Linked DNA regions of Arabidopsis thaliana. The protein of the gene in region 1 interacts with the protein of each later gene in a biochemical or structural test. Each region holds a gene or a part of one and is shown in the gene's direction. Other genes may lie near its edges.

Evidence for each region.
Region 2: the proteins of DML1 (region 1) and ATXRCC1 form a complex in vitro, tested with the Arabidopsis thaliana proteins (one study listed by BioGRID).
Region 3: the proteins of DML1 (region 1) and AT3G48425 form a complex in vitro, tested with the Arabidopsis thaliana proteins (one study listed by BioGRID).
Region 4: the proteins of DML1 (region 1) and AT3G14890 form a complex in vitro, tested with the Arabidopsis thaliana proteins (one study listed by BioGRID).

Annotation. Positions count from the first base shown.
Region 1 is NC_003071.7:15,308,330-15,317,837, reverse strand, and holds the start of DML1 (demeter-like 1), read left to right. Parts: upstream 1-3,030; 5' UTR 3,031-3,240; intron 3,241-3,482; 5' UTR 3,483-3,565; coding exon 3,566-3,699; intron 3,700-3,782; coding exon 3,783-3,898; intron 3,899-4,000; coding exon 4,001-5,131; intron 5,132-5,224; coding exon 5,225-5,596; intron 5,597-5,701; coding exon 5,702-5,792; intron 5,793-5,885; coding exon 5,886-6,783; intron 6,784-6,857; coding exon 6,858-6,937; intron 6,938-7,059; coding exon 7,060-7,144; intron 7,145-7,221; coding exon 7,222-7,313; intron 7,314-7,389; coding exon 7,390-7,458; intron 7,459-7,547; coding exon 7,548-7,584; intron 7,585-7,668; coding exon 7,669-7,751; intron 7,752-7,909; coding exon 7,910-8,335; intron 8,336-8,537; coding exon 8,538-8,574; intron 8,575-8,665; coding exon 8,666-8,723; intron 8,724-8,796; coding exon 8,797-8,936; intron 8,937-9,015; coding exon 9,016-9,081; intron 9,082-9,162; coding exon 9,163-9,277; intron 9,278-9,362; and 3 more. UniProt on the Arabidopsis thaliana protein: Bifunctional DNA glycosylase/lyase, which excises 5-methylcytosine (5-meC) and 5-hydroxymethylcytosine (5-hmeC), leaving an apyrimidinic (AP) site that is subsequently incised by the lyase activity.
Region 2 is NC_003070.9:30,234,720-30,241,827, reverse strand, and holds ATXRCC1 (BRCT domain-containing DNA repair protein), read left to right. Parts: upstream 1-3,292; 5' UTR 3,293-3,369; intron 3,370-3,962; exon of another isoform or gene 3,963-4,044; intron 4,045-4,056; exon of another isoform or gene 4,057-4,125; 5' UTR 4,126-4,179; exon of another isoform or gene 4,180-4,622; 5' UTR 4,623-4,664; coding exon 4,665-4,853; intron 4,854-4,953; coding exon 4,954-5,142; intron 5,143-5,232; coding exon 5,233-5,344; intron 5,345-5,439; coding exon of another isoform or gene 5,440-5,489; intron 5,490-5,514; coding exon 5,515-5,600; intron 5,601-5,692; coding exon 5,693-5,806; intron 5,807-5,885; coding exon 5,886-5,972; intron 5,973-6,099; coding exon 6,100-6,384; 3' UTR 6,385-6,608; downstream 6,609-7,108. Other genes in the region: AT1G80440 (Galactose oxidase/kelch repeat superfamily protein), read right to left, coding at 1-65; EMB2753 (tetratricopeptide repeat (TPR)-containing protein), read left to right, coding at 6,996-7,046. UniProt on the Arabidopsis thaliana protein: Corrects defective DNA strand-break repair and sister chromatid exchange following treatment with ionizing radiation and alkylating agents.
Region 3 is NC_003074.8:17,929,368-17,936,138, forward strand, and holds AT3G48425 (DNAse I-like superfamily protein), read left to right. Parts: upstream 1-2,337; 5' UTR 2,338-2,542; coding exon 2,543-2,779; intron 2,780-3,079; coding exon 3,080-3,172; intron 3,173-3,440; coding exon 3,441-3,585; intron 3,586-3,781; coding exon 3,782-3,983; intron 3,984-4,091; coding exon 4,092-4,170; intron 4,171-4,488; coding exon 4,489-4,550; intron 4,551-4,662; coding exon 4,663-4,749; intron 4,750-4,847; coding exon 4,848-4,951; intron 4,952-5,040; coding exon 5,041-5,126; 3' UTR 5,127-5,377; downstream 5,378-6,771. Other genes in the region: AT3G48420 (Haloacid dehalogenase-like hydrolase (HAD) superfamily protein), read left to right, coding at 376-690, 759-829, 915-1,073, 1,308-1,374, 1,568-1,663, 1,758-1,804, 1,888-1,968, 2,061-2,184; REF6 (relative of early flowering 6), read left to right, coding at 6,242-6,771. UniProt on the Arabidopsis thaliana protein: Apurinic/apyrimidinic (AP) endonuclease involved in active DNA demethylation and gene imprinting. According to a report, also displays an in vitro 3'-phosphatase activity. According to another report, has no in vitro 3'-phosphatase activity.
Region 4 is NC_003074.8:5,006,395-5,014,663, forward strand, and holds AT3G14890 (phosphoesterase), read left to right. Parts: upstream 1-2,281; 5' UTR 2,282-2,356; coding exon 2,357-2,707; intron 2,708-2,813; coding exon 2,814-2,876; intron 2,877-2,964; coding exon 2,965-3,246; intron 3,247-3,373; coding exon 3,374-3,439; intron 3,440-3,547; coding exon 3,548-3,676; intron 3,677-3,804; coding exon 3,805-4,098; intron 4,099-4,338; coding exon 4,339-4,401; intron 4,402-4,545; coding exon 4,546-4,623; intron 4,624-4,714; coding exon 4,715-4,783; intron 4,784-4,882; coding exon 4,883-4,966; intron 4,967-5,104; coding exon 5,105-5,161; intron 5,162-5,244; coding exon 5,245-5,321; intron 5,322-5,522; coding exon 5,523-5,604; intron 5,605-5,694; coding exon 5,695-5,811; intron 5,812-6,123; coding exon 6,124-6,257; intron 6,258-6,425; coding exon 6,426-6,495; intron 6,496-6,597; coding exon 6,598-6,666; 3' UTR 6,667-6,871; downstream 6,872-8,269. Other genes in the region: AT3G14880 (transcription factor-like protein), read left to right, coding at 171-577, 968-1,295; EMB3120 (uncharacterized protein), read right to left, coding at 7,048-8,269. UniProt on the Arabidopsis thaliana protein: Nick-sensing 3'-phosphoesterase involved in a base excision repair pathway required for active DNA demethylation. The N-terminal DNA-binding domain binds specifically to gap sites and sharply bends the target DNA.

The DNA of each region.
Region 1 (9,508 bases):
TGGTTTCTATCACTCAACCCAAAATTAAAAAAGAAGATTAATAGAACAATAATTCTGTTATTGTTGTTAGGTAGTAAGCTATGTTTAATAAATGAGGATTACCCTAAATGGGTGTTATTAGTTGGTGTCATTAGTAGATAAGGTTTATATTAGTCGATTTTATTTATCAGAGGTCATTTTAAGGAGTGAATTGTTTGGCGAATTGGCGTAAACAATATGTATATTCTACGTTATCACCATTATTAGGAGTATATATAAAGAACCTTTCTCGTTGGAGTTTGTTCATCAAAAGAATCGACTTATATACTTTCTAGAATGAATGTTCTAAGTGAACTTTTATAAACAATGATCCAAAAGATAGATCAATATTGCATGGGGAAAGGAACAGTTGAAAAAGTCATGCATTAATAAATAAAGTTTATACTTATTAAGTGGGTTATTGTAGTCTTCTTCTATGTGACATGTTTAAGATCGAAAGATGGCACTTGGCTTCCACTTGGCACTATCTCAGTTTGCATGAAATCACAATATGGTATTTGTCTCTTTGAGTTAAGTTTCACCATTGTTTATATGGATAATATCATGTCGATACAAAATGTATTATAATATCATAACATTATAACGTGTGCATGTAAAATAGGATTATAATAAGATAAGAATTAAGTGCTTTGCTAAAATTCAATGTAATTTATACTTTTCATGCATGGTGAATGAGTAAAAGAGTTGAATGAATCTGATACATGAGACGTGGATGGTAAGCGAGAGCTATGTCATTCACACGTCTCACACAGTGCGTGAAACGGGAATCTCCTGCCACCGCTTGAGAGGATTGACCTTATGGGATAAAAAAATCTTTCGACGCTTAAATCAGAAAATAATCACAAACATGTTATGAGAAAACAAATCAGCGAAGTCGTGGGTCTTGTATCCGCTGGTACTATTGCTCTGATTCTCTGTTTCCGGTCTTCAGCAAGATCCGATCATTATCTCCAGTCATACAAAGATTTTTTTGATTATTTATTTTTGTATATGTTGGATCTTTGTAATGTCCAAGACCTTACCCAAATTTTTGGGAAGGCCAATATTATAAAATTATGAATAAAACAAAGAACTAAGAACTATGGGAATGATATTTTTTTTTTTTTAATATATAAACTACGTGAATGATACCATATCATAAGACAAAAAATAGAAGTATGGATTGAGATACAAGCGTGGCGTCTTTGTTTTCAAGTGACCTATCTCCTTGATTATATTAAATAAAAACTAGTAAACAGGTTACATGATAGATTCGTAGATTAGTAGTATTTCAAGTTATAATTAAGATCAGGATATTTATAGTTACAGAGTATGATCGAGTAACAAGCGACGATTTATATGAGGTTTTTAGGCATGCCGGCTTTAGACTATAGTCGATGAAGCAAGGACTTTAAGGTCGACGCCAAAATATTTTTTATATTTTGAACTTTTGAGAACCCTAGTTAGGCCTAAGCTTCACTTTGCTTGGCACACAGCCGGTTATATTGGTGGATCAATGTATGGATATTTTGTATGTTTGGAGTGATGGCTTTATCGAACTCTCTGAACACAACTCTGCTAACCATACATCCACACGTCGTGTGATAATTAGATCTTATATAATAGTCCAAAAATGACTTCCAACTCATATATTTATATAAATAGTCTTCTTTTGTGGTTATATGTTTGGTTATTTCTATTTATAGTTTAATTCAATACCAATATTACAACTAAATCAGTTTAATTTTTCTTTGATTTGGTCTTTGAATTCACTTTCATGGTCAGTTTCATTGTTTAAGATAAACTTGAATGGATTAAACCGAATTAGGCATTCACTTTTGATCAGTCTCTTCTGCCATAATCTTCATAAGACAAACCCAAATTTGTAAAAACTTTTTTGAAAAAGAAACCGTAAGTAAAAGTAAAAGCGTTTAGGATCCAAGTATGGATTAGCTTCGTAATTTGAATTAGGTTTAGCTATACGAATTCGTTTACTTTTGTACCATATTTAGTTGTATTGTTTTCAATAATAGTTTTAAACATTCGAATAATCCGTTCCCAACTTTTTATCCACTATTATTCGTCTCAGTTTCTAGGATAGATATGTCCACACAAAAAAGCTCTTGATTTTTTTTTTTTTTTTTACAAATTCCAAATTTCTTTGCTCATAACCCAATCATTAGGTTATGACCACCATTGACTCACTCATAAGTCATAAGTCATAGGCTCATAACCAATCCAACAAGTTGTTAAGATTGACAACAACGATTCACTAAGATTCCAACCAAGTCCATGAAATAAATGATTTACAATACTCATTTCTCATGTACGTCTCTTTGAAGGTTTCTTGCATGACAGGAAATCAAAGGTTAGCACACTAATTACTCTTTTTTTCACACACATTCACAGTTTCACACATATGGTGCAGTATTTTGACTCCTATCGTACTAGACTAAAACATTTGGAATGATCAAAAACGAAAGACTCGTTGGGCAACTAGCCTAATAATCACTCTACTACACTAGCTCCCATATCAGTGGAAAATAATAATTCTAAAACGAATCATTTAACTTCTGCATATGTAAACGAAAACGTGTAAATTTATGAGATTACGTAAAAATTAGCAAAATAATATATTATTGATCAAAATTATAAACGTGGATTACATAACATGTTATTTGTTTAAATCATAATTTGATGATAAATTTATAAATAAAGTTCTAATTATTTTATATCTAAAGCAAAATTAAGATTATTTTATAATTTCTATTAATTATAAAATTAGTTAGTTCATATAATTTTAAATAGTTACGTAAACGAGAAAAAATACGAAATTTTAAAGAGAAAAAGATAACAGAAAAGACGATGATGACGATGACGATAACAACGACAATATTATTAACTTTTTAAATCATCTTTCCCATAGTCTAGGAGATTTTGTAGAAAAGAATCATTATTTTTAAAATAAAATTCCGTAAAACTTTTCCCGCCAACCAAACGAACTTTCGCCCTACATAAACAAACGGTTATGAAAAATAGTGAAACACACAACAACACATGTTATATCCTCTTCTTTATACGTTAGGCCAAAAAAGCTTTTTCTATATTACTCTTTAACTTCATCGATTCCAAGAGAAGAAACGAAGCATCAGTGATCTTATCCTCTCATAGCTACCACCGAACTAACTCTCTCCATCACCACCATAACCATTGATTCTACTGGTAATGAATTTTGTTTTTTTCTTACTTTTTTTTACATTTTGTTGTGAATCTAAAAAGTCTCTCTTTCACCTAACGAACGGATTAATCGTTCATGTCGCCACTCACCCAAAATCAATGACTTCCGGAGATCTCTCTTTCTCTAAAACCCCAGAAAAAAGTGGATCTGATCATTTTATAAAATCGTGATTTTTAAAAAAAATTGGTGATCTCTTTTATTGAAGAAATTATTGAACTTTTTGCAGTGGAAAAAATAGAAAGTTCCAAGCTTTTTCTCAAATGGTTCTGATTTAAGTAAGAGTGAAGAAAAGTAAAAATAGAGTCAGAAATGGAGAAACAGAGGAGAGAAGAAAGCAGCTTTCAACAACCTCCATGGATTCCTCAGACACCCATGAAGCCATTTTCACCGATCTGCCCATACACGGTGGAGGATCAATATCATAGCAGTCAATTGGAGGAAAGGTTTGTGCTTTTTTGTTCTAAAGTTGAGAAATTTCAAAGAGTAGTGATGGGTAATTGGTTAAGTAAGGTATTGATGCATGCAGGAGATTTGTTGGGAACAAGGATATGAGTGGTCTTGATCACTTGTCTTTTGGGGATTTGCTTGCTCTAGCTAACACTGCATCCCTCATATTCTCTGGTCAGACTCCAATACCTACAAGTAAGAGGGGATTTTGATTCTGGTCTCATGAGAAATGAAATCGCTTTGTCAAATTTTGATTCTGTTTGAGTTGGACTGAGAAAGATGTGATTCTCAATGTAGGAAACACAGAGGTTATGCAAAAAGGTACTGAAGAAGTGGAGAGTTTGAGCTCAGTGAGTAACAATGTTGCTGAACAGATCCTCAAGACTCCTGAAAAACCTAAGAGGAAGAAGCATCGGCCAAAGGTTCGTAGAGAAGCTAAACCCAAGAGGGAGCCTAAACCACGAGCTCCGAGGAAGTCTGTTGTCACCGATGGTCAAGAAAGCAAAACACCAAAGAGGAAATATGTGCGGAAGAAGGTTGAAGTCAGTAAGGATCAAGACGCTACTCCGGTTGAATCATCAGCAGCTGTTGAAACTTCAACTCGTCCTAAGAGGCTCTGTAGACGAGTCTTGGATTTTGAAGCCGAAAATGGAGAAAACCAGACCAACGGTGACATTAGAGAAGCAGGTGAGATGGAATCAGCTCTTCAAGAGAAGCAGTTAGATTCTGGGAATCAAGAGTTAAAAGATTGCCTTCTTTCGGCTCCTAGCACGCCCAAGAGAAAGCGCAGCCAAGGTAAAAGAAAGGGAGTTCAACCAAAGAAAAATGGCAGTAATCTAGAAGAAGTCGATATTTCGATGGCGCAAGCTGCAAAGAGAAGACAAGGACCAACTTGTTGCGACATGAATCTATCAGGGATTCAGTATGATGAGCAATGTGACTACCAGAAAATGCATTGGTTGTATTCCCCAAACTTGCAACAGGGAGGGATGAGATATGATGCCATTTGCAGCAAAGTATTCTCTGGACAACAGCACAATTATGTTTCTGCCTTTCACGCTACGTGCTACAGTTCCACATCTCAGCTCAGTGCTAATAGAGTCCTAACCGTTGAAGAAAGACGAGAAGGTATCTTTCAAGGAAGGCAAGAGTCTGAGCTAAATGTTCTCTCGGATAAGATAGACACGCCGATCAAGAAGAAAACAACAGGCCATGCTCGATTCCGGAATTTGTCTTCAATGAATAAACTTGTGGAAGTTCCTGAGCATTTAACCTCAGGATATTGTAGCAAGCCACAGCAAAATAATAAGATTCTTGTTGATACGCGGGTGACTGTGAGCAAAAAGAAGCCAACCAAGTCTGAGAAATCACAAACCAAACAGAAAAATCTTCTTCCGAATCTTTGCCGTTTTCCACCTTCATTTACTGGTAATGAATAGATACAGAACTATATTTCTTTGTTTTTTTGAATCTGTTAAATGCAGACTATTTCTTGATAATGATGATGTTTGATTCCTGCAGGTCTTTCTCCAGATGAACTTTGGAAACGACGTAACTCGATCGAAACAATCAGTGAGCTATTGCGTCTATTAGACATCAACAGGGAGCATTCTGAAACTGCTCTCGTTCCTTACACAATGAATAGCCAGATTGTACTCTTTGGTGGTGGCGCTGGAGCAATTGTGCCTGTAACTCCTGTTAAAAAACCACGCCCACGACCAAAGGTTGATCTAGACGATGAGACAGACAGAGTGTGGAAACTGCTATTGGAGAATATTAATAGCGAAGGTGTTGACGGATCAGACGAGCAGAAGGCGAAATGGTGGGAGGAAGAACGTAATGTGTTTCGAGGACGAGCTGACTCATTTATTGCAAGGATGCACCTTGTACAAGGTTATACACCACACTTGTCCTTTTATGTGTTTCTGTTCTAACCACATGGTTTCAATTAGTATGTCTCAGCTACTGCTTCTTGTTATGGTCTTTGGTTTCTAACAGGGGATCGACGTTTTACGCCTTGGAAGGGATCCGTCGTGGATTCTGTTGTTGGAGTATTTCTCACTCAAAATGTTTCAGACCATCTCTCAAGGTACAAGCTCTTACATAATTCTATGTCAAACTAAATCCAAGACAGCAAAAAGTCACAAAACTAACTTGCTTTGATGTTTTTTACTCCTTGTAGTTCGGCTTTCATGTCGTTGGCTTCCCAGTTCCCTGTCCCTTTTGTACCGAGCAGTAACTTTGACGCTGGAACAAGCTCGATGCCTTCTATTCAAATAACGTACTTGGACTCAGAGGAAACGATGTCAAGCCCACCCGATCACAATCACAGTTCTGTTACTTTGAAAAATACACAGCCTGATGAGGAGAAGGATTATGTACCTAGCAATGAAACCTCCAGAAGCAGTAGTGAGATTGCCATCTCAGCCCATGAATCAGTTGACAAAACCACGGATTCAAAGGAGTATGTTGATTCAGATCGAAAAGGCTCAAGTGTAGAGGTTGATAAGACGGATGAGAAGTGTCGTGTCCTGAACCTGTTTCCATCTGAAGATTCTGCACTTACATGTCAACATTCGATGGTGTCTGATGCTCCTCAAAATACAGAGAGAGCAGGATCAAGCTCAGAGATCGACTTAGAAGGAGAGTATCGTACTTCCTTTATGAAGCTCCTACAGGGGGTACAAGTCTCTCTAGAAGATTCCAATCAAGTATCACCAAATATGTCTCCGGGTGATTGTAGCTCAGAAATTAAGGGTTTCCAGTCAATGAAAGAGCCCACAAAATCCTCTGTTGATAGTAGTGAACCTGGTTGTTGCTCTCAGCAAGATGGGGATGTTTTGAGTTGTCAGAAACCTACCTTAAAAGAAAAAGGGAAAAAGGTTTTGAAGGAGGAAAAAAAAGCGTTTGACTGGGATTGTTTAAGAAGAGAAGCCCAAGCTAGAGCAGGAATTAGAGAAAAAACAAGAAGTACAATGGACACCGTGGATTGGAAGGCAATACGAGCAGCAGATGTTAAGGAAGTTGCTGAAACAATCAAGAGTCGCGGGATGAACCATAAACTTGCAGAACGTATACAGGTAAAAATTTAGTGGCTAAATTTCGTGATAACATTCATTTTAAGTATTTGACTCTGAACATGAAAATCATGCAGGGCTTCCTTGATCGACTGGTAAATGACCATGGAAGTATCGATCTTGAATGGTTGAGAGATGTTCCACCAGATAAAGCAAAGTAAGTTTGAAAGACGAAGCATTTTATTTCTTCTTTATTAACCTATACAAAGATTACTACTTTGGCAGTTTTAGTGACTTAATAATGAATTATGTACTCTCGTATATTACAAAACCCTGCAGAGAATATCTTCTGAGCTTTAACGGATTGGGACTGAAAAGTGTGGAGTGTGTGCGGCTTCTAACACTTCACCATCTTGCCTTTCCAGTAAGCAAGGATCAAACTTTTGTTTCTGTCCCTATAAAAAGTGAATTATATGATGCATGAACTTAATTTATTGACAGGTTGATACAAATGTTGGGCGCATAGCCGTCAGACTTGGATGGGTGCCCCTTCAGCCGCTCCCAGAGTCACTTCAGTTGCATCTTCTGGAAATGTAAGCACTTTTCAAAATGGTCCTACTTGGAAATTGTAATTTGTTACTTAATACATCTGAGGTTTGGTTTGTCTAGGTATCCTATGCTTGAATCTATTCAAAAGTATCTTTGGCCCCGTCTCTGCAAACTCGACCAAAAAACATTGTAAGAATGATGTTTATCACTAACTTTTTTTTTTTCATGCCTCAGTCTAATACACTTATTCATTAGTTTAATACCCTATTATCTCACAGGTATGAGTTGCACTACCAGATGATTACTTTTGGAAAGGTATGTATTAAAGAAATACATATATACGTATGTCAAAATCAGCTCACATGATGAGGTTTGTAATCTGCTTGATTATTGTATCAGGTCTTTTGCACAAAGAGCAAACCTAATTGCAATGCATGTCCGATGAAAGGAGAATGCAGACATTTTGCCAGTGCGTTTGCAAGGTGCTACAACATGTTCTCTTAAACCTTTAGTACCACTATGACTCTATGAGGAAAGTCCTTGTTAAAATATAACCCAGTTAAATGAGAATTGGTCTGTATCTAAACGAAGCTCTGAATCATCATTACAGAAAATTTAGTAACATTCATTTGTTTTACAGTGCAAGGCTTGCTTTACCAAGTACAGAGAAAGGTATGGGGACACCTGATAAAAACCCTTTGCCTCTACACCTGCCAGAGCCATTCCAGAGAGAGCAAGGGTCTGAAGTAGTACAGCACTCAGAACCAGCAAAAAAGGTCACATGTTGTGAACCAATCATCGAAGAGCCTGCTTCACCGGAGCCAGAAACCGCAGAAGTATCAATAGCTGACATAGAGGAGGCGTTTTTTGAGGATCCAGAAGAAATTCCTACCATCAGGCTAAACATGGATGCATTTACCAGTAACTTGAAGAAGATAATGGAACACAACAAGGAACTTCAAGACGGAAACATGTCCAGCGCTTTAGTTGCACTTACTGCTGAAACTGCTTCTCTTCCAATGCCTAAGCTCAAGAATATCAGCCAGTTAAGGACAGAACACCGAGTGTAAGAATCCATTTTTCTCTGTTTTTCTTCGTTCTTAGGTTAAAAATGAAATCAGAAACACATTTTTCAAAATTATTAAAGCTTGAACAGAGTAGAATATTTAAGTGATTGACCAAGCATGAACTCGTAAGTTGGAAAGCAGACAAACTTCCCAATAATTACAGGCTATGCCATAACTTGTTTCTTTTCCCGTATCTTGCAGTTACGAACTTCCAGACGAGCATCCTCTTCTAGCTCAGGTATGTGAGCTAACTGGATAAGGACACATGCCGTATAGAGTGCTGTCTATATTGTAAAATCTGACTAGCTGTTTGTGATTTCTTGTGGCAGTTGGAAAAGAGAGAACCTGATGATCCATGTTCTTATTTGCTTGCTATATGGACGCCAGGTAATTTAATGATTTGCATATCTTTTAATCATGAAATCAAATCGGTATCTTTAATCGATGTGTTATTCAACAGGTGAGACGGCTGATTCTATTCAACCGTCTGTTAGTACGTGCATATTCCAAGCAAATGGTATGCTTTGTGACGAGGAGACTTGTTTCTCCTGCAACAGCATCAAGGAGACTAGATCTCAAATTGTGAGAGGGACAATTTTGGTAAGTAGTTGCATCAATCTCCTTATGCGGCTTACTACACTTATGTTTTCTACAGATTAATATGTTGTAAATTGTACAGATTCCTTGTAGAACAGCGATGAGGGGTAGTTTTCCTCTAAATGGAACGTACTTTCAAGTAAATGAGGTAAGACTTGAACTCCAATAACTCCAACTCTTTCATTTTAATTATTTGCATTGAAACTTGTGATGTATTCTATTGATACAGGTGTTTGCGGATCATGCATCCAGCCTAAACCCAATCAATGTCCCAAGGGAATTGATATGGGAATTACCTCGAAGAACGGTCTATTTTGGTACCTCTGTTCCTACGATATTCAAAGGTATAAGATTTTCTTTATTGGATTGTGATGCGATTGTTTATATAAAAGAAAGTTGTTCTAACCACTTGAGCTCTATTTTTCTCAGGTTTATCAACTGAGAAGATACAGGCTTGCTTTTGGAAAGGTACATTTTGTATTAAGCAGTTTCTTCTTGTTCTGAAACATAACTTATCTTTTGATATTATGTAGGGTACGTATGTGTACGTGGATTTGATCGAAAGACGAGGGGAC
Region 2 (7,108 bases), on another chromosome or scaffold:
TGGTAGGAGGAGCGAAGGAGACACTCGCGAGCAACGTCGTCGGGAAGATTGGGGATAAGTTCCATCGAGAAAGTATCAAAGATTGAAGCTTTTTGTTTATCTGTTTGTTGAGAAGTGAAGAAGATTGAAGCTTTACAAGTAGAGTGAGGGATATTGTAATAGTTTTGGTAAAAGATGAAATTTTGGATCGAGACAAGGTTGAAGAAGATGATGATGATGATGGGAAAGAGGAGAGTGTGCCGCTTTATAGATATTTGAAGATAAGTGTTTCTAGAAAACTTGTTGATTCATTCATCGTTTCTTTCTTTTTTTAATATAATTTTTGTGTTGTATATTTTATAGTTTAAATCAAATAAAATGAAGATAACGGAATTTGAGTTAGTATGGGCAAAAACGGTTAATGGTTGTGTCTTGTATTTAAAGATGGAGACTTTGGACCAATTGGGACAAGTTGATGGATGTCATATCCAAGTTCATTTTCTCCTGATATTTTTCTGGTCAGGTTTAGTAATTTAGCATTCGAATTCCAGTCAACAACAGATTATATATCTAAACATAGACGGTAAAATATACTACCGAATATCGAATTAGGCCTTTCGACTAATACTGATTTTAGATTTTGGATGTTGTTTTGACATGTTACTCTGTTTTCTATCTAATGCTATAGAGTATACACTTACTAGTGCGCACAACAAAAAACAGAATAAAATTAATCTATCATTTGTTCGTTTAAGAATAATGAAAAAACTTAAAACCTACACATAAAAGACTGTACTTTTTGAATGGACCTTCTGAATCTATAATTTAGATCACACCCTTTCTTTTTCTCATATACTAAAATATTAATCGGACCACACACACCCTTTTGCTTTGTAAAAATTTAAATCGATCTCCTAATTCCAAACAACAGAACTTGTTTTTTTTTTTTTTGGTTTTATTATAAACAACAGAACTTGTTCTTTTTTTTTGGTTTTATTATAAACAACAGAACTTTGTGGCAACTTGTATACTAAAGTGATGAATATATGTATACTACACATACACGACGGCAAAATATTATTATATGAAGAACGCAAAACTACAAAGATGTTTCCTTCGCATTATGTGGTACATAATCCAAGCACATAATAGCGTTTAAAGATTAATTTATGTTTTATTAAAATGAAATCCAAATCCAGCTCAAAGACTAATGCCTTGGAGTCTTTCCTCTAAAATCCTTCTAGATAATTTCTCTAATTTCACTTGTAGAATTTCCCTTTTTTTTGACAAAAATTTATTTGATTCTTATTTGGCTTGTTGTTGTCTGTATGTGTGTGTCTATCTTTGGTCGGCCATATTTAAATCTGTATTGATACTCGACATCTTTAAACTATTACCGATGACCAAAGTTATATGTTTTTATAAATATAGCTACAATATATACAGATATTTGTCGTAATTATATATGATCTTTATTAAACTTCTTAACGCGTGTGACATAAAGAAACGAAATGTTGTCTCCGTACTCAAAAGCGTATACTCGTTAATCAAAGCATTTTTGCTTACTAATTTAATCTGTAACGTATGGACATTTATGTACAATACTCTATTTTTCGTAGCTGTACAAAATTGAATACGGAATAATACAATATTTAGGGAATTAGTAGCATGTTCCATGCAGGTTGGACTAGTTCTAGTGTCCGCCATATGTATAAAGCTGTAAACATCTTTAACGCATATATTTGGTTTATTAAAACAATAGTTTTGTGATTACTATGACCCATTCATGTATTTGCATATAAATGTAGTAACTTGGAGTTTTGGTTAATTAGACAAAAGATACTCCGATCTAATATTTTTTAAAATAAGCTAATTGAAACTTCAACGTGGGATAAAACGGGCTGACAAAAAAAGGTTCAACATGAAGAAAATAACTCTAACTGATAAAACGGCACGGCGTCTGAATGACTATAACTCTATAAGGTGACAAAACGACACGGTGTCAACATCCTTAAAGGGGGGAAGAAGAGTCGTCGTGATTCGTCGGGTGGCTGGCTCTTTGATAAATCTAAACAATAAACGACGGAAGCAATCCGATTCTTCGTAGATAGGAATAGCCCGAATAGACTGGTACTGGGAGTGTTGGACCCACTTCATCAATGTTCGTGTCGATATTTTCAATTCTCATACTCTTCTTTGGTCGCGTTCAATTATTCAAATCTCTTAACAAGTATTTTCTTCACAAGAAAATTCGCCAAGCAAATTGGAAAAAAACGAAGAACACACGAAATAACTAGCCAAAAGAGTTTAATTACTTCTTTATATATGTGATCGTTATTTATTTGCATTTTACTCGTTTTTTTTTCCAATTATGTCGACACTTGATTAAATTAGAAGCACAAAGCCTCGAAGCAAACCGGCAAAGATAATAACATCTGCCAGAGCTAAGTAATAAGGTTTACAGTTAGATGATCGAGAGAATATGAGCTTTGGCACCGCAGAAAACGCTGGCCAATTACATAGGAAAATGTTCATTTGAAAAGATATATAGCTAAACAGTATATATGTCTCAAAAGATAGTTTGACTCGCCGCATCTTTCTATTAGGCACTCGACGTCTTCATCATATATGCATTATTATTTTGCATATTAATTAATGGTAGGGATCAAATTGTTACGAAGACATGCAATAGATCATTTGGATATTCATGCGGTCGACATCAAATAAAACAGCTCTCGTACATACAGACAGGATAAGCTCATGAAGTTTCCTTTGGTATTTATTTTTACGTCCTTTTCCATATCCATTATGATAGTTATCCGGTAGCTGATGTGGACTTCGTATCTTCTACTGCCAGTAATTGTATTTCTTTTTTTATAAGTGCGCGGAATATCTATTTTCATTCATCCTCATCATCATATACTAACATCAACTTATCTACCTTTTTTTTTTTAAGGGTTTGCTCGAGGTTTCATGTCATTTTTTGGAAATAAATTTTGACAACATGATTTAATGTTGAATGGTAATGAAATAAGAAAATCAAGATGATTCAATACTCTTCGATATATATAAAGTGAGCGAGAGGGAAAGCACAGAGTATGATAAATCAACTGAATTTAGCTAATAAAACACATTTTTTTATATTGATAGCGTCGAACAGACCAACGACAACACAACGGTCAAATTAACATGGCTTAAGTCAAGCGAGGACAGAACGTGCCAAAGCCATTGAATATATTGAATCCTTTTATAAGCATATCTTATTTAGTAACCACGTGAGTCGTGACGATGGCTTATTATTAGTACGTACTACGTAACTTTGAAGAAAAGAAGCCCTGAAATTTCGGAAATGGGTTCAAAAGTCCAAAAACAGTTTGCGGTTAAAGAAGGGTACGTTATTTTTTTTATAACTTTTTTTTCATTTTTTCATCAAAGAAAGGTACGTTAAAGACAAAGTGAAGACGTAGTTTAATTTTGACATGTTTAGACTCATTGATATTCAGAAACTTAGTCCTGGAATTGTGTTGTAGCAAAAACAACAACACAACGAGAGAAAGATAAGATAAAAGCATATATGATGGGTTTGTGTTGCGGATGTTACGAGAATATGAGACATGACACATCATGACATCAATGATATGGACAAGCATACGATATATTTCAGAAGAAATAGGATGTTTCCTCCCCTTGCAAGCTTTAGCTTCTCCAGTGCATTAAGTCTAATTCATCGAGCTCATTGTAGGTATACGAAGGATTTGACTGAGCTAACTTAGGAAAAAAAGATTGAAACGAGGAATGATTTAGTAATGGTAATTTGACCTTGGTTTTGTACTTCTTTTAATTCATAAACCCCCTCCACCGTAAAAATGAAACATTAGAAATCCTAAAAGGGCAGACAAGTTGATGTCCAAAAAAAAAGAAAAAAGGGCAGAAGAGTAAAAACGCGAATGAAAGAGTCAAAGCAAAAAATTGGTAAAAAAAAGCGTGAACGGCAGGATTCGAACCTGCGCGGGCAAAGCCCACATGATTTCTAGTCATGCCCGATAACCACTCCGGCACGTCCACCTTTGCTAGTTGAATCATTTGTTAAATTGAAAACCCGTCATTTTGATCTGATTTTGTACTGTATGTTGACAAATTGAATAGTCTCTGATGATTTCGATCAAAGAGAAGCCACGGGGGGAGCGCTAGCACTTAAAGGTTCCTCGCTTTCTTCTCAAGTTTATAGTCTTCTCCTCTGTGTTGGCTCATTTACATGGGTAGATTTAGTTTTCGAGGGTTTTATGGCGAAGTTCGCGATGTTCTGTTAATTGCAATGTCTTTCTTCTTTTTTTTTTTTTTTTTTTTTTTGGTATTCAATTCCAATTTTCCAGTGTGATTTGATCTGAACTCGAATTCAAATTCAGTGCTACTGAGTTATGTTAAAACCATTGTCCATTGATTTTTTTATGTTGAAATTGAAAAAAGGTTATACCATTCGTTTGTATTAAGATTTGTCTTTCTTAGGGAATGTTTTACATTTTTTGCAGATTTGCACCGTTTTCTCTCTGGCTTTGTGTTGTGCTAGATGCGATGCAATAGCAATATTTTCCTGGAGTTTCAAGTAACTAGTGGCTTAGGTTCATAATAGTGTTTCTTTGTAGGACGAAAGCTGTGTTAGTATTCTCTCCACTGTAAAGGACAAGATGTCTCAGAAGCGAAATCTTCCTTCTTGGATGAGTTCTAGGGATCCCGAGATTACTCCGAGTAAGTCTCATTGTAAGAAGCCTAAGGATGAAGGACCAACCGAAGAGCACAACAGTAGAAATGCCCCTTCCAACAAGTCAGAACACGCCGAGCCAAGTTCAAATACCACTGAATTCTCTAAACTTATGGTTTGTGTGTGTCTTCATGGTCTTGTTGAGACTCAATTATCTTAAGCTGTCATGTTAGTTTATATGCTTTTGTGATTGAGTTGAAGGTTAAACTATGCAGGAAGGCGTTGTTTTTGTACTTTCGGGCTTTGTTAATCCTGAGAGGAGTACACTGAGGTCACAAGCCTTGACAATGGGAGCCACCTATCAACCTGACTGGAACGCTGGCTCTACCTTGTTGATTTGTGCTTTTCCTAACACTCCAAAGTTCCGTCAAGTTGAAACAAATGGTGGAACAATTATCTCAAAGGTTACCTCTTTGACTCTTCTTATAAGGGATTGTGTGCGGATTTGAATTTCTCCTTTTTGCTGATATTTTATATGATTTCACTGTCTCCAGGAGTGGATAACTGAGTGTTATGCGCAGAAGAAGTTGGTAGATATCGAGCAATACCTTATGCATGCTGGAAAACCATGGAGGAAAAGCAGTAGTCCCCAAGATGCTAATCGAGGTAAAAAGAATTATATTGGAAAGGCTTTAGATAGAATCTCCGTTTTAACCATCCTGAGGTTCATCAAATCACCTTGTTTTTACGTTTATGACAAGAGAAAAGCTTTTCTTATTGCACTGCTTCACTCCGATGTTTAGTTGACTCTGTGAACCTTAATTGATTGTATTCAGAAAAGAGAGAACACCTGTCTAAAAAACCAGAGAAGCAAGTAGAGAAAAAAACAGAAACAAGGGGAACACCATCTACCTCATCCAAGGCATGTTTAAATCTGATGATTTGGTTAACCAAAACGAACCGTATTTTGCTCCAATCAATGGTCTATGACTGTTTATTTCCATATGTTCACAGAATAGATCAGCTTGCAATCTTGTGAAAGAGCCATTTTTTGTTACAGAGGTGAAGAAATGGGCCAGGGATGACCTAAGTCAAACCATCTCATGGCTTGAGAGTCAGGAGGAAAAAGTAAGGGAATTAATATGCTCTTTCAAAAGACATGTTTTCTTGATTGTATGTTTCCGTTATTCTAAAGCCATTGTAACAGCCAGAACCAGGCGAAATCAAGCGAATAGCTGCGGAAGGAGTCTTAACCTGCTTACAAGACGCCATAGATTCTCTTGAACAGAAGCAGGTTAATATCTCTGAAGTCTGAACAATAATAGTTGCCGCCTGTGTACATTTTTGGATTTGTTAAACTTTGATCAGTTTCTTTGAGAAGATCATTGGTTGAATTTATTCTCGAATGTTCTTAATTTTAGGACATTGGATCAGTTACAGAGCTATGGAGCTTTGTCCCTCGTGTAGTGAAGGAGCTTGGAAAGATGGAATCGTCTTCTAAAAAGGAAAATTCAACAGCATCAAAGGAAGAAGTTTGCAAACAAGCAAAGTCGTGGAAAAAGATCTACGAAGCTGAGCTAGCAAAACCGGGCGAAGATGAATCGACCTCTCGGGTTGCTTGTGGCTATGACAGTGATATGACCGTTGAGATGACTGAAGAAGAGATCGAACTTGCTTATAGGAACGTTTCTTTAGAGTGTCTTTAGATCAAACTTGTTTCATTTTGCATATGATCTCTTAAGGAATTCCAAGAATTCTTGTTATACTCGGTTTGTTCGGTTTGAGTAGGATGTTATTACTGATAAAAATTTGAAATAATCCGGTCTGCTTGGTTCGGAAAGAATGTTTCTAATTAGAATTTATTTATGCTGGTTTGGATTCGATTGAGAGATGTAATCGGTTGCAATTAATAAGTCGGTTTGATTTGATACTTTTTAGTGTCGATTGACGATGAATTTGATCGGTTAATACAAATTTGATTTGGTCAATTAGGTTCAGATGTCTCCAGTTTTGAACCGGTTTGGTTCTATCCAATTTAATAACCGTTTTGTAATATCAGACAAACGAATTGAAACCGGAAACATGTACCGATATGGTTAGGATCGAAGAAGATTGATTGAAGACAAGACCCTAATTTATTTATACCCTTATTGGGTTTTGTCTTGTGAGAGTTGTGCCTTTCTTTGTTTCGCAGTAGGGTTGAAGCGGATAGTACGCCACCTCTATCTCTCTCTCACCCTATCGAACTCGCGAAGAACATCTTCTTCTTCTTCTTCTCCGTCTTCGTCTTCGCGAGCTCTCTCAGTAGCGCAATAAAATGGGGGCTTCGCTTCCTCCTAAGGAGGCCAACCTCTTCAAGCTCATCGTCGTATGTTCCGATTCCCTCTCTTTCTTTCTCAGTTTTTACTTTGTCTTAAACATGCGATGTGA
Region 3 (6,771 bases), on another chromosome or scaffold:
ACATTTTTTCCATTAAAGAAATATCGCATAATAATATTATATATCTATACTATATTTTGAAAAATGTTGTGGCTTTCTAGAAAAAAGGAGAAGAAGGAAGATTTAAAGCAAAAAAAAAAGTATTTAAGCTGTCATAAATAGAATTTTTTTAATCAAAAGTGTCTAAAAGGTTATTTAAACTCGGTTTAAGGTGTGTCAATAGGTAGAGAAATACCGAATTAGCTAACCCGACCCGTACTCGGGTGGCTCTTTCTTTCAATTCTTTCTTATTTTGTGGTCGTTAAACAAAGACCGGATAAGTTGAAGACATTCGCGACCGTTATTTATTTCGCAGAGTGATTAGAGATAAAGAGAGAGACAGAGAGAATCAAAACAATGGCCACTGTGAAAATCTCTCTTTCCTTGGCTTCGCTATCACCATCTTCTTCTTCTTCTTCAATTCAATCTAAGTTATCACCATCTTTCATTCCCAATGCGGCACCTGCAAAGGCGGTGAAGTTGCGATTCAATGGAAAGTCCCTGAGAGCAAAACCAATGGTATACAGATCATCTCGCTCCGTTGGAGTCACCTGCTCTGCTTCATCTTCTCTGACGACTCTTCCCTCTGCTCTTCTCTTCGATTGCGATGGCGTTCTTGTTGATACCGAGAAGGACGGTCACAGGATCTCCTTCAACGACACTTTCAAAGAGGTTTCTCAGTTTTAGTTTTTTGGTCATTAGCTCTTAGCTTCGGTGATGATAATTGGAATCTTTTGCAGAGAGATTTGAATGTTACGTGGGATGTTGATTTATACGGCGAGTTACTTAAAATCGGTGGTGGTAAAGAAAGGTATACAATCAAAATTGCATTTACTATACCAAATCTTGAGTTAGTCTCTCGTTTGAATGAAATTGGAGTGGCTTTGTTTTGGTAGGATGACTGCGTATTTTAACAAGGTTGGTTGGCCAGAGAAAGCTCCTAAAGATGAAGCAGAGAGGAAAGAGTTCATAGCTGGACTTCACAAGCAGAAGACTGAGCTTTTCATGGTTCTTATCGAGAAAAAGCTGCTTCCGCTTCGACCCGGTGTTGCAAAGTTAGTGTCACTTCTAATGTTCTATTCTATATTCTCGATGCTATTACTTGAATGTCCCTTTTGAGTTTGATTTTTTTAAAGTCTAAAACTTTTAACCCAAAACAAGGTTTAGCAAACTTACTAATGATTGATACTCCTGAATCATGATGCTATGAATGTTTGTAAGGCTTGTTATTTCAACTAATCATATACATGTTCTTGTTTGTTCTGAGCCCTCTTGCTAAAACTTTGCAGGTTGGTTGATCAAGCTTTAACAAACGGAGTCAAAGTAGCTGTGTGCAGTACTTCAAATGAGAAGGCGGTATGATCAATCAGGTTCTACTACTTCAGTTTCCTGAGACCATAACCATATATCTCAAAATCTTGTATCCTGATGAGTTTTCGTAAACAAGACTACGCGCAGCTGCATCGTTAACATGAATATGCGAGCATCGTCTTAGCTTAGAAGAACTGTATAATCGGAAATACTTTTCTCATTTCTTGCCTGATTTCAGGTTTCTGCTATAGTTTCATGCTTGCTTGGACCAGAACGAGCAGAGAAAATCAAGATATTCGCAGGAGACGTAGTCCCCAAAAAGAAACCTGATCCAGTAAGTTACTCACTTTCCATGCTATCACAACATATGTTTTGCTTGCTTCGTCTTGGTTAAAGACCGAGTCATCAAACTTTTTGTTTCTTAACAGGCCATCTACAACTTAGCAGCTGAAACCCTTGGAGTTGATCCCTCAAAGTAAAGTGTTACTAAGATTCTTTACAGGAGAGAATGAGTCAGTTTAGAAAACTCTCTTGAGATATGGATTTGTGTATGTGCAGATGTGTAGTGGTTGAAGACAGCGCGATCGGGCTAGCAGCTGCAAAAGCTGCGGGAATGACTTGTATAGTTACAAAGAGTGGGTGAGTTTTAGTCTGAAATCAGAATCCTATTCATAATTCCATAACAATCAGAATTGAAATGATCATTCGTTCTTTCATCTTTGGAATTGTAGATACACGGCTGATGAAGATTTCGAGAACGCAGATGCGGTTTTCGACTGCATTGGAGACCCTCCAGAAGAGAGATTTGATTTGGCATTCTGTGGAAGTCTTCTCCGGAAACAGTTCGTTAGTTAAAAACTACAAACCACATTAAGAAAATTGTTTCTATATCAACATTGTTGTGTATAGTCATTTGAACAGAACATTCATGTAAAACCATATATATAATATAATTCGATTATAACATTATGAAGAAAAGCGTTACAATATATTGGGCTTGTGAGCGTTGTTGGGTTTACTATGTAAATGGTTTTGCTTGACCATTGTTGCAAATTTCTATGTGAACTTCGAATATACAACAAACGCCGAAACACAAAGCTTCGAATATACAACAAACGACGGGACAACGTAAAGTTCGTACCTTTTTCAAGTTGGTATCTGAATTTTGGTGAATTGAGTTTTATCTCCATAAAGCTACGAAATTGCTATAGCTATGAAGCGATTCTTCAAGCCCATAGAGAAGGAGAATTCTCCGGCGGCTAAGAAACCCTGCCTTTCGCCGGAAAAGCGTGACGGAGACGGAGATGGAGTTGAAGAAGAGAAGAACCAGAACGAGCCGTCCAAGTTTATGACGTGGAACGCTAATAGCTTCCTCCTTCGGGTGAAAAATGACTGGTCTCAGTTCTCTAAGTTCGTCTCCGATTTTGACCCCGATGTCATCGCCATACAGGTGATTTCTTTTGCTTCGTCTTTGGAATCCCTGGGTTAATTTCGAGCAATGTGGGTAAATGTGCTTAGGTGTTTATGTGTGGAACTTTAAAACCCTCCAAGTCTTCTAGGGTTGTATTGAAGTGGTTTGAGTTCAACTTGTTGATGCAAATTCAGTCACTTATGACATTTAAATGGTTAATGGTGCAAAAGATCAGACTTTAATCCAATTTGTTTGTGACTACGATGGGGGAGGGGGCTGTTGATTCTTTTAGTGTCAGCGTGTTCTGAGCTTAGCGGTTGACTGTGTTCTTAATGTTAGGAAGTAAGGATGCCTGCTGCTGGTGGAAAGGGAAAACCTAAAAACCATGAAGAGTTGAGTGATGACACGAAAGTTTTGCGTGAGGAAAAACAGGTACCATGGTTCTGTATTGACTTGCTTGTTCTATCTGTTAAAATAGTTGTATTATAGTACCAACGGAACAAGAATTTTCAAAGCTCTGTATCTTGATGCATTTGCAATTAGTAGGAGATTTTGGTGTATGAGTTAGAATCAACATTGCAGTGGCATGGTTATAGACAGATTTTAAAAGAATGCGGGAGCCACTTATGGAGTAACAAACTCTCTTGTTGTTTGGATAACATTCAAGCTTGATATTAGTTCTGGGAAACTTAACTTGCAGATTTTGACACGGGCTCTCTCAAGTCCACCATTTGGAAATTATGGGGTTTGGTGGTCTCTCGCGGACTCGAAGTATGCAGGGACAGCTTTGTTAGTGAAAAAATGTTTCAAGCCTCGAAAAGTTTACTTTAACTTGGACAAATTAGGTATTTTTATAGCCTTGTTGCTTGTTCCTTATCATCACATAAATCTCTTGCACACTAGCAATTTGAAGCCATGTTTCTTTTATCTGTCTTGTTATGGTTCTGCCATTTCCTTGATCTCAAAGTTGATGTACTTGGGAGAAATATATCATAGCTAGATCATTGATGACTAACTTATATACTTGTCGCTCTCATGCAGCATCTAAACATGAACCTGATGGTCGTGTTATCTTAGCTGAATTTGAGACATTTCGTCTTTTGAATACGTATTCGCCTAACAATGGTTGGAAAGATGAAGAGAATGCGTTTCAGAGGAGAAGAAAATGGGACAAGAGGATTGTTGAATTCCTCAACAAAACATCTGATAAACCGCTAATATGGTGTGGCGACTTAAATGTCAGGTAATGAGGAAGTTTTTTCTATATCTTCTCTTGCTATACTCTTTTCCTTAAGCCCTTACAGAATAAAAGTTGATGTTATTTCCTCGATTCGATTTTTGTAATACGCAGTCATGAGGAGATAGATGTTAGCCACCCAGAATTTTTTGCTACAGCAAAGCTTAATGGTTATGTTCCTCCAAACAAAGAGGTAAGGAATACCATATTTTGTACGATTTATTCATTATCATTATAGCTTTTATCTAAAAACAGAGCTGGCTCTCAATAATGTTATTTTCCGTCGGCCTTTTATATCTCTTCCTATCTTGTCTCTTCATCTGCATTGTGACCCTGCTATTGTTGATGACTTTACTACGCCTGTATTTCTCTTCCTATCTTGTCTCTTCATCTGCATTGTGACCCTGCTATTGTTGATGACTTTACTACGCCTGAACCGAAAGGTTCTCCGTGAGATGGACCTTTAAATCATACAATGACTACAGTGGTTTTGAGTTTTTTGATTATGCAGGACTGCGGACAGCCTGGATTTACACCATCTGAGAGAGGACGCTTCGGGGCAACTATAAAAGAGTATGCGTAATATGTCTTTGCACTGCGAAGTCTTAGTAGTAGTACTTTCTAGAATACAGATTAGAGTTACTAAACATGTGATTATAAATTATATTTATGGGAACTGTTACAGAGGAAGGCTTGTTGATGCATACCGGTATCTACACAAGGAGCAAGAAATGGAAAGTGGCTTCTCATGGTCGGGGAATCCCATTGGAAAGTGAGTGGATACTACACATTTTAGTTTTATGGCTTGGAGTCCAGAACCTCCGCATGTTTCTAAAGCTATATATTGATTTTTTGTTTTGGTTGCCATAGGTACCGGGGAAAGAGGATGAGGATCGACTATTTTCTGGTCTCTGAACAACTCAAAGACCGTATAGTTTCTTGTAAGATGCACGGTCGTGGGATAGAACTTGAAGGTGCCATAGATAAACCTGTTCATCACACAGATTCATAGAAGATTATTATTAGCTCTTTTTGCAACAATTTGGTTCTTGATTTGTTTCAGGTTTCCATGGGAGTGATCATTGTCCGGTTACACTCGAGCTTTCGAAGCCATCTTCAGAAATGGAACAGAACCAGGTGTCAAACTAAAATCATCTTCTTCTGTATTAGAACATAAGGCCTTCTTAGGAACAAGCCAAAGCTTATTTTATCAGAGAATTTAATTTTTACTTTGCCGAGAGATGCATTGAAGATTTGATTGAGGTTATTGAGACACTTATTTAGCCTTGTTACTCTGATGAACTCTCAAATGTACTTATAATTATTGTTGTGCTTATCTTAATATGTTTTATTTTCCTAAGAAATGTTGATATTTTTAATTGTGAATCTTCTTCATTTAATTATTTTTATTTATTAACTTTTGAGTCATTTCTAAAGATTTAGAGCTTTTGTTGGTGTATTTTAAGCATATTATACCCTTTGCTTTATTGTCTTAGTCAGTAGGTAGAGGCAACATTCGTTAAACCAATGGCTCATTCAAATTCTTTTTTTTGGGCTCATTCATATTCATAAAAATCAAATTTGGATTCAGCATAACAAACACAATAATATATGTAGACATTTATATCATACATTAATTTCTACTAATTTCATGAACTACCAAAGACTAAAAATGTTTAATGAGAAATATCTTTTTTAAAACCATCAAAAATTTTACTCTTAAAATTGGGATTTATGTTTGGTTTTAAAAAGGAGTTTTTGAATGTGCAAACGGATTTACAGAGAGGACAACAACAAATGTGTGTTAGAAATGGCAGAATCGTAAATAATAAGAAAATCATACCCTTTTAAAAACCATTTCTCTCTCTAACTAAGTGTTCTTTACTTGTTTTAATACAGAGATATCACAATCTCTTGCTCTGCCCAAACCCATCCCAACCCCCTAAAAAAAATACAATTTTTTCCTCTGTTTCTTTAATCCAATAAAAACAGAGAGACCTAAGAAACGAGATCAACAAAGCCCGTCGTTTTTTTCGAGGAAAAGTGAATGACCCTTTAAGAAAATAACTCTATTGGCCGGAGAAATGGTGGAGACTCGTCGATTCTCTTAAAGTTTGTTTTTTTTTCCTCTCTTCAAAATTTTTGTTCTGTTTATACTCTGTAATGGCGTTTTAATTTGATACCTAGAAGTTAAAGTGAACAAATTTTGAGAGAAAGTCTCTTTTTTTTGTTCTTCCCTGTGTGTGTGAGAGAGAGAGAGAGATATGGCGGTTTCAGAGCAGAGTCAAGATGTGTTTCCATGGCTTAAATCGTTACCGGTTGCTCCAGAGTTCAGACCTACTCTAGCAGAGTTTCAAGATCCGATCGCTTACATTTTGAAGATTGAAGAAGAAGCTTCTAGATATGGAATCTGTAAAATTCTGCCTCCACTGCCTCCTCCTTCCAAAAAAACCTCGATTTCTAATCTCAACCGTTCTCTGGCGGCAAGAGCGGCGGCGAGGGTTCGTGACGGCGGCTTTGGCGCGTGTGATTATGACGGTGGTCCCACATTCGCCACGCGCCAGCAGCAGATCGGGTTTTGCCCTAGGAAACAGCGTCCAGTGCAGAGACCTGTGTGGCAGAGTGGAGAGGAGTACTCTTTTGGTGAGTTCGAGTTTAAAGCTAAGAACTTTGAGAAGAATTATCTCAAGAAATGTGGTAAAAAGAGTCAACTCTCTGCCCTTGAAATTGAAACACTTTACTGGAGAGCCACTGTGGATAAACCCTTCTCTGTTGAGTATGCCAATGACATGCC
Region 4 (8,269 bases), on another chromosome or scaffold:
AATAAATGATAGGCATTTCTAGAATTTTAGGAAAAAAATGAAAAAAAATCAAAATGTGAACGTTGATACAATAAGAAAGTCGGTGAACAAAAAAAAGATAATATAAAAGCATAATATAGACAATATAAAAATTGGTTCGACCATCCCAAACACTACGGAGGACCCAAAATATGAGCCAAGAGACAGCGATAGCAAGCTTCAAGAAATTCCAACAGTCATGGATCGAGCAGCTACGAAACCACCTGAACCACCTCCGCTCCGCCCAAAACCATCACCGGAACTCTGCTACCGGTGATGAGGAACGGTTAAGGGAGGCTGTGGACAGAGTGATGGAACACTTTAGAGAATATCACAGGGCCAAGTGGGCTGCGACGGATAAAGACGTCATCGAAGTTATGGCTTCTCCTTGGGCTTCAGCTCTTGAACGGTCGCTTCAGTGGGTCGGTGGTTGGCGACCAACCACCTTGTTCCATCTGGTTTACACTGAGTCGAGTATTTTATTTGAGTCTCGTATCGTTGATATACTTCGTGGCTTTCGCACCGGTGATCTCAGTGATCTCTCCCCTTCTCAGTTCAGGTTCTACACGAACCCCTAATTAGCTACTTTGTTTACTAATCACAACTACTAGTAAAGATTTTTTTATCTAATTTAATAAAATATCCTTAAGTTACGTTGTAATTTGATTGAAGTAATATCGTGATTTGCGCGTGTTATTGTTTACCAAAACTAATACAGGTTCACTCCTACACCTAGAGATATCAAATATGTAGATTAGTTTAGAACATACGATGTTTATTTGTTTACTTTTCTTACCAAAAATGTTTTAGAAAGTGAAAAACACATTTGAGGGATAACAATAAATTTGAGAGATTAAAACACTTATTTTACTTTCTTTTTTTTCAATGTGTAAACAATAACATATGGACTAACTAAACATATTTTGATTACTTAATATTTAATATTTAGGGTTCCATTTGTCAAAGGCAGGACGGTAAGTGAGCTACAATGTGAGACCGTGAAGGAAGAGAATGCGATAACGGAAGAGTTGTCGGAGTGGCAAGACGATGCGAGTGACCTTGTCATGGGGACATCGTCAGATCCCGACCAGAGGATCCGACGGCTAGCAGAAATCGTCCACCGAACTGATGATCTGCGACTGAGAACGATCACACGTGTGGTGGAGGTCTTGAGTCCGCTCCAACAAGCGGAGTTTCTTGTCGCTGCGGCTGAGCTTCGTACAGGCGTTGCTGGTTGGGGGACTAGCCACGACCGTCGTCGAAGTTCCGAAGTTTAAAGCTAACTAAAACCGGTCTAAAGGTAATGAGAATCGAGGAAGAAAAATAGTTTTTGGATATTAATTATATGTTTTTACCATGTTTTTGGTTATCCAGACTGAGTTTGGTTTTACATGGTTATGAAAACAAAAAAAACTCATATGTTATGTCTCTACGGTTGCAATAAAGATCAACCCACGTGTGGTGCTTGTTAGTTTACCTTTTTTAGTTAGAATTTTGTGTGTTTGATTTTTTTTATGAGGTAATTATCGGACCTTATTGGGGCTTCTGATAGTTTGTATATAAAAAATACTAAAGACAGAGAATCGGGGACATGGGTCATTGTTGGTTTCTATAGACCAAGTGGATAAACAGAAAACAAAAAGTCAGCTACAGAAAAAGACATGAAGTGAACGTGGCACTGCCATGTCTCTTGAAGACATGCAAGAGGACACTTGGTGTGGTACGCGTCCTCCTATCACGGTGTCGATTCCAAACATTTTGTTTGGTTTAGTTTTAAGATTCTTCTTCGAAAGAATCTCATTTTTAATCGAAAGATATGATGACATGACAAATTTCTTCTTACATAAATTTGCTCTTATAATGTTTATTTTCGTGTAAGTTTTATATATTTTCTAAAATATTGAACTTAAACTAGCTAGACCCTTTATAAAAATACTATCAGCCCTTTTATATAATGCTTTGGTGACAACAGAACGACAAGAAAAACTGAGAAGAGACCTAAAAACGATTATAGCGGTTTTGATTGGTTGAAGATGTGTCACAATTTTTTTTGTTTATTTCGTTTCATTTTTATTTAATATGCTAGTAAACCTGTTTTTTTTTTTTAAAACTGTATTATAAAAACGTGTCTTGTTAGGCCTTTAAAGCCCAAATAAGCCCAATGAAAGAGGAAAAGAGGAGACACTGAGATTTGGCCCAAACTAACGCATATATTTGTGTTTTACATTTATACCCCTATGACCGACATCAATTTACCGACAGACTCTACTTTCGAGAATGGCGGGAACGTGAACTGAACCCTAATCACCTTTTTTCTCGATTCCCCACCAATGGCTATATGATTACAGTAGCCCCCTTCGTGTCTCTTCGTTTCCAGTTCCCTCTTTATATAATAAATCGCTCCACTCTCTTTTTCCGAGAAAGAACACAGTATCTCGTCTACAACACCTGTCACATTTTGAGAACAACGGCGAAAACAATGCCGGTGGTTGCTGAGTACGCGAAGTCGAATCGGTCGTCGTGTAGGTCATGTTCGAACAAGATAGCTGTGAAATCGCTTAGGTTAGGGTTGATTAGCAAAGGACGTGGCGGGGTTGACATGACCAGGTGGCACCATTTCGATTGTTTTCCGACTGATTCTGAGTCGATTGCTTCCGTTGATGATATTCAAGGCTTATCCGCTTTAGAGGTTAGGGTTTCCTTACATTTCTGTATTTTGGACTCCCTAGGTTTTTTTTCGTCTAAAGCTTTTCACTTTCGGTTATTTGTGTTAACGCTTGTGCTTATGGTTACAGAAAGAAGATCAAGATGCTTTGACGAAATTGGTGGAACAATGTGGTAAAGTACCTGCAAAAAAAGTAAGACTTTGGAAAGTGATGCTCTTTAGTCTCATTTGCTCATATCTACTTTTGCCTAACTGCTTGTATCGGTTTAAACTTAAAGCAGCCTGATGAGAAGAAGGGGAAGGCTAAAAAGCATATAATGGGGCCGAAGGGGCTTACGAAGGCGGCAACATCTTCAAAAGTTATTGCTGATAATGCGAAATCGAGCAGATCATCATGCAACAGGTGTTCTCAGACAATCGTTTCAAAGGATCTGAGAGTGGGGCTGGTTACTGAAGACTCCAGGGGATTTGATATAACAAGATGGCATCACTTGGGTTGTTTTCCCATTGATTTTCATCCAATTGATTCTGTGGAGGACATTGGTGGATATTCATCGCTTGAGGTTAGTTTTTGTTTACATATTAGGAATTTTCAGTTCAGTGTATAGAGCTTTTGGATGATTGCATATGACATGTGGTAACTTCGCTAACAATATCTTTTTTATTTGATTCATTTGTCATACTCAACAGAAAGGTGACCAGATGGAATTAAAGTATTTGGCCGAAGTAAACAAGAAGGATAAAACTTTGATAGATGTACTATCCATATCCCTTGTCATAATATTATAGTCTGTTTCTGCAAATGTAGAGAACTTTACCATTTCAGGCTTTTTGAAACTAACTTCTTACTTCCTTTGCTGGCAGGATGTCCAGAAGATGGATGAAGGTGATGATGAAGCTATAGCTGATAATGAGCTAACGGAGGAGACCAAAAAAGGAAAACATTCTCCTGTTGCAAAATTGGTGGAACAACCTGGCGAGCCTGCAAAAGAAGTAAGTTCTGGAAGCAACAATCTTCTTTTATGCGAGGAAGAAATGATATGCAGACTTCAGTCTTATTTTCCAACCTAGATGTAGATTTTTGACTGAAATACTTCTTTTAACTGCTTGTATCGGTTAAGGATGAGGATGAAGAGAGTAAAAAGCCTGCATCAGATGAAATAAGTGAGCAGAAGACTAAGGATGTGAAAAATTCTCCTGATTCTTCAAAAGTTATTTCTGAGTATGCGAAATCGAGCAGATCAACATGCAAGAAGTGCTCTCAGACTATCGCTGCAAAGGAACTGAGGTTGGGGCTAGTGACCAGAAACTTCCGTGGCTTTGATATGAAACAATGGCATCACTTGGGTTGTTTTCCTGTCGACTCTGATCCAATTGTTTCGGTAGAGGACATTGGTGGATTTTCAGAACTGCAGGTTAGTCTGTATTTAAAGATTCAGGGGATAGAGCTTCTAGATTATTCATGTATCTTCTGGTAACTAGGATCATTTGAAACAGATGCTATTTGGAATATAGATGTTGGTATATAGTTAATTTATTGTCAGGTTGGCATGACATCGTTGTCAGTGTCGTGCAAAATTAACACCCAAACATGTATGTATTCCTTGTTTCTGCTAACACATCTTTATATTTGATTTATTTTTAATTATAAACAGAGTGGTGATCAGGATGCATTAAAGGAATTGGTCCAACAATGCGGGAAGCAGACTTTGGTAGATGTAATAGCAAATCCCCTTTTCATAATATTTGTTTTCTTTGGCGAAAGCATTCTGTTTAAAAGTTTTATCATGTCTTAACCAGAAAATAATTTTAGAATTTATGTCTAAACTAACTTCTTACTTCATTTCGTTGCGGGATTGCAGAAGATGGATGAAGATAATGATGACACTGAAGCTAAAATTAAGCTAACTGAGGAGACAAACAAAAGAAAACATTCTGAGGTTAATAAATAGCAATAATCACATCTTTTTATACTATAATTTTGTTAAACTGGAATATTCCTTGACCTGTAATTTATTGTTTCTTATAAAGGTTGGGGAGATGGTGGAAGAAGATGAATCGCTAACTAAAGCGAAACAACAGATGGCTAAAACACATAAGGTATACAAGCAATGATAAGTATTGAATACCTTCTAATGGTAGCCACTCTTCATTGTGGAGAAATTATACTTAATGATTTTAAAATATTGTGTTATGCAGGTGAACATGAGTGAGTCAACTTCTCAGGTCGAGGTTGAAGCAGAAATCACTCTTTCAGCGTCTGATGTGAAGGATAAGTACAGGGTAAGCACTTATAGTGTCTAGTAGGTTAAAGCCATGTATTCCTGTGTTAAATATTCTTCTTGGAGTTTGTAGCTTTGGCATTTGATCCCTTTTTCGAGTTCTTTTATTTTTCTGGCTGCTAATCTTCTTGTTTCTCAGGATGCCAATCTATTACCAAAATGGAAAGCTTTTGAGACAGTTATATTCCTTGAGCGGGTGAGAAATCATCTTCAGATATGATGTACATGATGGTAATATATTATGGCCTAATGGTATGTTCCTTTGTTGCATTTTAACAGGATGATGGTCTTAATGATTCAGAAAAAATAGCTGCATTTGACTTTGATGGATGCCTTGCAAAAACATCTGTGAAAATGTAAGTAGCTCTTTGGTCACCCATAATATTAGTGTGTTCTCTGTTTTTATGGACATATGGGCTTTTCATTCTATCTCAAGTGATTGCATTTCTGCAATTTTTGTTTATCCTTTTAATGGTGTTATGCACGAACCTCGTCTTTCAAGGAAAATGAGAAACATTGTAATGTGTCATAATGTTTTATATTCCCTTCTTTCTCAGAGTAGGGGCAGATGCATGGTCCCTAATGTATCCTTCCATTCCTGAGAAACTGCAAAGTCTGCACGATCAAGGCTATAAGCTGGTATTTTATTTTCAGCTAGAATTAAGTCTTAGGTACTCAATAGTATTGTTTATATAGATTATAGAGTAGCTGATTTTAAATGTTCAACAGGTCATTTTCACAAATGAATCCAACATTGATCGATGGAAGAACAAGCGGCAAGCTGCTGTAGATTCGAAAATTGGACGGCTCAACAGTTTTATCGAGCGCGTGAAGGTCCCCATTCAGGTTAAGTGCTCTTCCGTTTTCATAAGTAAGAACGTGATTGTATCTATTCAAGAACACTGTGTCAACAAACCCTAGCTATTATTATGAGTAATGATAAGAAACTATGATGTATTCAATGCCTTGTTCTGTACTTAGTTCATATGGCTTTAATGATTTGTTCCGGCGTATAGGTATAATCAGAGAGAAAATAGTGATTCTGTCTTGCTTGTTCTTATTAGTTAACACCCCAAATTTTCAAAGTCTTAAAAGTGCCAATTCCCTACATTGTTGCTGATACTGTGAAGATTATAAATGGTTTTGTTCTGCAAACAGGTGTTTATAGCCTGTGGAGTCTCAAGTTCTGGTGGTAAAGGTGGTAAAGATGACCTTTACCGCAAACCCAAGGCTGGAATGTGGCAACTCATGAAGAAGCATTTTAACTCTGGAATTGCAATTGATATGGATAAGTTAGTTTTCTCCCCACCTGCTCCTAAAAACTTGAATTTACCTGAAACTTCTAGCAATGCTGGAAGATTACACTCATTTGTCCACCAGCCTTACTGATTAAACACTCCGTTTAAGTCCACTAGCACATTTTTTGTTGTTGATACTGACATCTGTGCTATGCTCATCAGATCCTTCTACGTTGGGGATGCAGCTGGAAGAAAAATGGATCACAGCGACGCTGACATCAAATTTGCACAGGTATTTATTGCAAACGTCAGACAATACCCATCCTTTATTTTATAAGTCACCCTATTTACTTTTCTGACTTTCCTCATAGACAACTACTTTCTTTGGTTGCAGGCGAGTGGGCTAAAGTTTTTTACCCCGGAGGAATACTTTATCCCCTCAAGTACATCGCCAGGGACTTAGCTGTATCAGTCTTGTGCTTGTGTTTGCAGTTTGCAACTTCTTTTGCTTTTTTTTTTGTGATGAAACTAGTAGCTAGCTTTTGTGATAAAACTAGTAGTGTGCTTTTGTGATCAAAGTATTAGTATGTGTTTTAACTCTTTTTGTATATTACTGATATTTAAGCGTCAACTAGAGCTTATTGAACCAGGAAAAAGAAACTCCTTTGAACAGGCAGGATTGCAAAGTCAACATAACAAACCACTGATAACAAAAAAAGTTCAAATTTCCGACTCATTTACATACATGGGATTGGGAAAGTTTAAAATCTCTTATGATGCTAATAACATACATCAAAAATTCACTCTCCTTTTCACTCTTTAATCAGAAGACTCAGACATGAAATCACTCCTTCTGACCAATCTCGCCTTCCAAAATGGCGTGTCTTGTCAGAACAATCTCTTTGACAAGGTTTCTGTAAACAAAGGGCCTAACAGCAGCACGGAGAAAGAGCTCAGGTGGAATCCTACTCTTCTTTATCTTCTTCATCCACCTTCCATATCCTACTGTCTTCCATTCTTCTGGCTTCACTTTTGCCTTCTTACCTCTCATTTCCAACTCATCTCCTTCAATCTCTCCCTTTTCTCGTTCCTCCAATGCCTTTAACTGCTTCTCATAAAACTTATCTGACACCACCATACTCATCTCCGCAAGCTTCTCCATCCGCTCCGCATTGTTTGTCGCTTTGTTGAATTGCTCTTCCCAGTACCTCTCATCCTCTTCCGGATCCGACTCCTCTATTTCATCTTCCAAACTGTCTTCTTCAACGTTTCCCTCCACATCGACAACCATGTTATCATCATCATCTACTTCTTCCACCTCACCATCATCATCATCATCATCATCATCATCATCGTCATTGTCAGCTTCATCTTCAATCCATTCTGAGAACTCAGCCTTCTCTGAGCTTCCACTAATGCTAATCTCATCCTCATCTTCATCTGGAGCATCACACCCTAACTCCATCTCCTCCAACTTTGCTTTCCATTCTTTTGTATACGGATGCAACAGCTCGTTCGGGTGGTTTCCAAGCAAGAACTTCAACACTCTGGACTTCTTTTCATCACTCAACTTCTCATAAGCATTCACCACATCATCCACGAAAGCTGTCTGTCTCACCTTCAACATCTTACACAATCCTCCGTAATAAGTACTCAACTCCACTCTACCTTCATCATCCTCCACTTCACACACAAATCCAGATTCCGTCACCGGGTTTAAATAAGGGATAAGCGAGTTAAAGAAATCTTCTTGAGGCTCAAACCTACACTGAAACACAGGCTTCTTCACATACACAATATCAGGTCTAAACCAAGCCGCACATTGACATATCAAAGACCGAGACTTGTTCCCTAATCTCCCCATCAAATTCCACTTATCCAACCTCTGCTTCTTATCCGCTTCCACAACCACTTCACTAACCAACGTCCATTGCTCCCACGGTAACTCACTGAGTCTCCATTTCGGATGCCTGACAAACACCCAAAAATACCTCAAACCAACATTCGAATCCAACTCCTTAACCCTCTTCTGAAAAGCTATATTCATCTCATGCTGCTCAATCTTC